Linked DNA regions of Sus scrofa. The protein of the gene in region 2 purifies or fractionates together with the protein of the main gene of each other region. This does not show direct contact. Links are inferred from orthologs where the notes say so. Each region holds a gene or a part of one and is shown on either strand. Other genes may lie near its edges.

What was found. The genes of interacting proteins can lie anywhere in the genome.
Region 1: the proteins of CCT4 (region 2) and TLE2 purify together in Homo sapiens (affinity purification with mass spectrometry; 3 studies listed by BioGRID and IntAct, with this or other methods). This does not show direct contact. The link is inferred for Sus scrofa from reciprocal best matches to the Homo sapiens genes CCT4 and TLE2.

What each region holds. Positions count from the first base shown.
Region 1 is NC_010444.4:75,534,526-75,537,370, forward strand, and holds the end of TLE2 (transducin-like enhancer protein 2), read left to right. Parts: intron 1-812; coding exon 813-889; intron 890-1,996; coding exon 1,997-2,104; 3' UTR 2,105-2,287; downstream 2,288-2,845.
Region 2 is NC_010445.4:79,930,739-79,934,474, reverse strand, and holds part of CCT4 (T-complex protein 1 subunit delta), read right to left. Parts: intron 2,144-3,736; coding exon 2,035-2,143; intron 1,454-2,034; coding exon 1,311-1,453; intron 792-1,310; coding exon 670-791; intron 310-669; coding exon 177-309; intron 1-176. UniProt on the Homo sapiens protein: Component of the chaperonin-containing T-complex (TRiC), a molecular chaperone complex that assists the folding of actin, tubulin and other proteins upon ATP hydrolysis.

The DNA.
Region 1 (2,845 bases), on a different chromosome or scaffold from region 2:
AAAAAACAGATAATGAAATATTTGGGACACACCTGTAGTAAAAATGATGTATGGTTGATGGGAAATTCAAATGTAAATGAGTACCCTGTTTATTTTTTTATTTTTATTTTTTTACTTTTCTAGTTTTTTGGCTGAGGCGGTGACATGTGGAAGTTTCTGGGCCAGGGATTGAACCCGCTCTACAGCAGCGACCTGAGCTGCTGCAGTGACAATGCCAGGTCCTTAACCCTCTGCACCACAGGGGAACTCCCTGAGTACCCTGTTTTCACTTGGCAACTGTCCTGGGGCTCCCCCTTCTTGAAGGCCAGTCAGAGCTCTTTGGGGCCTTGAGTTCATCTGGAATGAGAGGGGGAGACTCCTGAGAGGCTCTGTCCCCCGGAGGAGGACAGAAGTGCAGGAAAGAGAGTGAGGAGTTCCCGTCGTGGCTCAGCAGAAACGAATCAGACTGACATCCATGAAGATGCAGGTTTGATCCCTGGCCTCACTCAATGGGTTAAGGATCTGGCGTTGCCATGAGCTGTAGTGTAGGTCACAGACGCAGCTCAGATCTGGTGTTGCTGTGGCTGTGGTGGCTGCTGTTGCTATGAGCTGCGGTATAGGCCAGTGGCTACAGCTCTGATTCAACCCCTATAGCCTGGAAACCTCCAATATGCCACCGGTGCAGCCCTAAGAAGACCAAAAAAAAAAAAAAAAAAAAAAATTGCAGGAAAGACAGTGAGAGGCCAGAACAGGCTGCCCCGCCTCTGCCCCCAGCCCCCAGCCCAGGCTTTCTGTGGTCGCCTCTCCTGAACCCCCCACCCTCCTTCCCCCAGGGCGGTGGTTCGTGAGCACAGGGAAGGACAACCTGCTGAACGCCTGGAGGACGCCATATGGAGCCAGCATTTTCCAGGTACCTCCTGTCTGAGGTCCCCACCCTGGCAGGATACCAGGTGTCCAGGGACCTGGGGGAGGGTAGGGGGGGCTTTGAACAGAGGGATCTCCCCACTAGCCAGGAGCTACAGAAGCAGATGGTCAGCACGAGGGCCACATCTGTGTGCAACCAGATTTTGCGTGTTTTGTTTTTATAGTCACACCCATGGCATATGGAAGTTCCTGGGCCAGGGATGGAATCCAAGCTGCAGCTGCAGCCTACACCACAGCTGCAGCAAAACTGGATCCTAAACCCACTGCACCAGGCTGGGGATCCAGCCTGAACCTCTGCAGTTGACCTGAGCCACTGCAGTCGGATTCTTAACCTGCTGCATCACAGCGACAACGTCAGGTTTTTGTTTTTAATAGTGATAAAATACTTGTAAAATTTGCCATCTTGGAGTTTCCTCTGTGGTACAGTGGGTTAAGAATCTGGTGTTGTCACTACTGGGGCTTGGGTTGGTGCTGTGCCTCGAGTTTGGTCCCTGACCCCAGAACTTCCCGCATGCTATGGGCGAGGCCAAAAAAAAAAAAAAAGCTAATCATGTGATACAGACTGATTTGGTTTCTGGGCTTACTGGCTAGAGCTCATCTGGACTTCACTGAGCTTTCAGGTCAAAAGCTAAAAATGTACCACTGGACTCTACAGAAGTTTTCTGAGCACTGGTGTGGGTCATCCTGCTATAAGCCTTAGCCCTCTGCTGTGGTGTGTGGCCTCATGCCTGGTGCACACCCTCTGTGAGCTTCCAAAAAATAGTGGTCCCGTTCTTCTCAGGAGCACCATCACCTGTCCAGGGGCTCAGCTCCAAAAAAGGACCTTTCTCTGGAAACCATGTCACCCTTGTCCCCTACCCCCCGCCTAGGCTCCCCATGTTGGGCTCCTCCGAGTCTTGTGTCGGTCTCAGCCTGGACCATAGGCTCATCTTTAGGGGCAGGTGCTGCCCCAGCCATCTCGCCTTTTCCTTCTGAAGGGGTGGGTGGTTAGGAGCACGAACCAGACAGTACTGGCCTTGGCCATGCCTCACTCTCCCTTCTCTCCCCCCCTTCCCTGTCCTGGACTCACACCCCCTTCCCCTCCCTTCGGCAGTCCAAGGAGTCATCCTCTGTCCTGAGCTGTGACATCTCCGGGAATAACAAGTACATTGTGACGGGCTCGGGGGACAAGAAGGCCACTGTGTACGAGGTGGTCTACTGAGACCCCCTCTTCCTGCACCCTTGGCCCAACTCCTGGTGGAGAGACATCCAGGACTTTCTCTCCTGTCCTACTGTGAGCCCCACATCTCATCTGCTCTCTGACCCCCTGGCATCCTCCTCCACTGGATGTGGGGCCAGATGTGCAGGGGGACTTTGGGGAAATAAATGTATTTATCACAACTGCCTTTCCGTCTCAGGCTGGGGAACTGGGGACCCTTGCTCTTTCTGGGCGCCATTATTGAGAGAAGGCCACTTTCCAGTGGTGTGGCCGTGGGTCAGTGACTTTCTTTCAGCCTCTTTTTCCAGATAAGGACACTGAGGGAATTCATTCTGCATGAAACACTGAGTTCAAGAAATGGGTGTTGTATTGGGGCTGTGTGGCTTCTGTTCTGCCATGTAACAAACAGCCCCCAGATCTCAGTTGGTTGAAACAATAGATGTTTCATACTCACACCCGGAGGGCAGGTGGGGCTCAACTCCAAGTAGACACTTGGGACCACAGGATGGTGGGGGTTTCACCAGGTCAGTGTATAGCTTGGGGCCAACACAGCAGGAGAAATGAGTCCTGTTCAGCTTTTACAGCCTTGGCCCAAAAGCTTTACCGCCAGCCCTTTGCACAGAATCATCCAAAGACCCTGCCCACGAACAAAGAGTTAGGGAATATGGTGGTGCCTGAAGCTATTTGGGGTGCAGGTACATTTCCTTTGAAATCCAGAGAATTCCTCAGAGCCTGGCACATGAC
Region 2 (3,736 bases):
TTATACATTTATCATATATGGCATCCAATATTTTCTACTTTTGTCTCAACTTTACTAATTCTTTTTAGAGCCATGCTTTTTATCACTAGTATCAGCATTTTCTATTTTTATAATAATGAGCAAGTTTTCAGTATTAGCCAAACACACAAGCAACCATTTCATTTAGTTTTACTTACATCTGTTTTAGGAGCAGATAAGCAGAACTGAATAAGCCCAATCTTAGCCTTTTCAACTCTGGTTATGCCAGAATTTGCCACTTTCTGAGTAAGAACCAGACCTTCTACCAACTCACAGTCATCGATTGTCCCACTTAAAGAAAAAAAAAAAAAAAAAAAAAAAAGAAGAAGGAAATGAGATAATTAAGAGGGAGGAAATCTGCAAGTTTAGTAGAACACCTTAAAAATCATCAGTAATTTAATTATCAGTGATTAAAATGTGCTTTAGCCTCATTCACATTTCTAGTGCCCATTCCTGAACCACACTGCCCTGCCATCATTAGGAATGTAAATAAATTCTTGAGATTCCCACATTAATACAAATTGCTATGCAAACAAAAACCAAACTTTTGTGACTTTCTAGGTGGTTTCCATTTAACTTATTTTTGCCAACAACCAATATTACTTTCGAAATCGATTTCTATTAATTAAAGCTGTAATGAGAGATACTTACCCAAGTTTCTTAACTATTTTAATATCTCTAAGATCTACACTAGTAGCTGTGGCTGGGTCAATCACTTTCATCACTGCATTTACACTCATTGGAGAAAGGAGACTTGAATACTGAGACACAACCTAGAATTATTAAAAAACAGAATCAGTGTCACAACAGAAAAAGCCCTATTACTTTATAATGATAAAAATATTCGAGAAGTAATCTCAATCACTTTTGGGAGAGCATAAGAGAAAACATTCTATATAAACTGTCTTTTCTATTCAGGTTTGCTGAAACCAGGATACAAAATTAAAAATATATGCTCTCAATTCCCTGGGGGCGGGGAATGGTTAAGAATTCGGTGTTGTCACTGCTGTGGCTCATGTCAGATCTCTGGCTGGGGAATTCCTGCATGCCATGGCCAGAAAAAAAAAGAACAAAGAAAACTTGCATTTCTCTCTTATTAATATGGTACTCAGTACTCAGGACTAACCAGATTACTCATAATCCTATAGAAAATTAGTTTAGTAACATGGTCACTCTTGAGAAATAACATTTATAAACTGTCCAGCATCAATAACCACAGCATAAGATTTGTATGTAATTCTTAATGAACCTTAAATTATAATTTTACTATGATCTTTCAGTGCTGGTCTCACCTTTGAGTTCAACGACGTGGTGGCACTATTCAACAAGGTATCTCTGTCACTAAGTTCCACAGGTCGAGACATGTCAGTCAAGATTTCAATACCCTTTTCCAGAGCCTTCTGGAATGACTCAGAAATGATGGTTGGATGAATCCCTGCCATTTATGAAGGACCACTTATTTAATTGTAACAGACAAATTTCATATTTGACATGACTTAAAATTTCTCTATTCATTAACATTTCAAAGCAGTAAAATTCTCAATTATTTAAAACTATAATTTAGGCTTCAGTTATAAACATAATGGCTTTTATAACCTTAATCACAAATAGTCCTAATAATTTACTTCCATTTAATTTGGTATAGATTAGTTACATACTCATGTGATATTTGAGACTAAAACCAATTTCATACTTTTCAAAACTCTACAAATCTACATAAGTAGAATAATTGACCAGAGAGTCACTACTACGTCTAAAAATTATTTACCAAATCAAGAACCCATATTATATCCCAAATCACAGTTCTCATCTATACCCTAAATTTTATCAAATTCCATTCAAAAGGAGACCTAGAAAAAGAAAACATTTTCTAACTCACATAATACGGTGAAATTTAATCTAAAAATTTCTGATTAAAAATTAGCTGTTCCAAATTAAATTTTAAATCAGATATTACTTAGCAACTTCTTGCCTTTATTCAGTAATATAAAGCATGTTCCAAGTCTTCTTACCTACCTTTCTGAAGAAGCTTCGTACAGGAATCTAAAAGAGAGCCAGCAATGATGACCACCGAAGTGGTGCCATCTCCTGCTTCTATATCCTGAGCCTTCGACAGCTCCACCAGCTAAGTGAACAGAACATCAGGTTGCTCAATCAGAAATATGAAAACTCAGTAAAACCTAATTCAAATATAACTTCAATGACCTTCACATCAGTTTCACATATAAAACTTTATTATCAACACTGTAAGATTCAATATACTTGACTTTTGATTTGCTGTCCACCTTGGTTTCATTTAAAACTGACCTACTAGAGTTCCCATCATGACTCAGCAGAAATGAATCTGACTAGAAGGTTCAGGTTTGATCCCTAGTCTCATTCAGTGGGTTAAGGATCCAGTGTTGTGAGCTATGGTATAGGGCACAGACTCAGCTAGGATCTGGAGTCACTGTGGCTGTGACTTAGGCCATACCTAAGCCCCTAGACTGGGAACTTCCAATGCCAAGGGTGCGGCCCTAAAGAGACAAAAAAACGACAATAAAACTGACCTATATATTTGTGACACACATAATTCTTATATATTTTTTCTCTAAGTAGCTCTATTATGATTTCCATTCCAGACTATAGTTTGTAAATTTTTTCCTTGAGCTAGCTACTCAAAAGGACAATGGATAACTTGCAGACTCAGAAGTTATGAAATGTAACATTCAGAGGAGACTGTCAGTTTGGAATCCTTCCCCAAGCTTATCTAAACTGACCCTGCATTATGCAAATTAAGATTTTTTTTTTTTTGCTTTTTAGGGCCTCATCCACAGCAAATGGAAATTCCCAAGCTAGGGGCTAAAACTAAGCTACAACTACAGCAACAGGTCTGTGACCTACACCAAAGCTCACAGCAACACCAGATCCCTGACTGCCAGGGTTTGAATCCATATCCTCAATGACTTAGTCATTTCTGCTGAGCCATGTGGGAAACTCCAAAAGGGACTTTAACATAAATTTATTTTTTTTTCTTTTCATGTCTTTTTAGGGCCACACCCGGAGCATACAGAAGTTCTAGAGTTCCTGTCGTGGCTCAGTGGTTAACGAATCCGAGTAGGAACCATGAGGTTGCGTGTTCGATCCCTGGACTCGCTCAGTGGGTTAAATAAAATAAATTTATCTTGAAAAAAAAAAAAGTAGTTCCCAGGCTAGGGGTTGAATGGAAGTTGTGTCTGTGACCTATACCACAGTTCACTAGGACACTAGTTGGGTTTATTACCAATGAGCCACAATGGAAACTCCTTAAGAGGAATTTCTAAAGAATATTTGTTTTTGCTGCTACAGTGACTTCTCACTTGACATTGGAATCATCATTATGATCCACAGTTGAATTAAAACCTGTTTTTAGGATTTCGTGTCATGGCTCAGCAGTAATGAAACCAAATAGTAGCCATGAGGATGCAGGTTCCATCCCTGGCCTCGCTCAGTGGGTTAAGGGTCTGGCATTGTCGTGAGCTATGTAGGTCACAGACGCAGCTAGGATCCTGCTTTGCTGTGGTGTAGGCTGGCAGCTATAGCTCAGATTCAACTCCTAGCCTGGGAACTTCCATATGACACTGTGCGGCCCTAAAAAGCAAACAAATATTAAAAAAAAAACCCACAAAAACACCCCAACTTTTTGAAAATAAACTTATTTTCTTCTTCATTTTTTTTGATCTTTTTGTGTCTTTAGGGC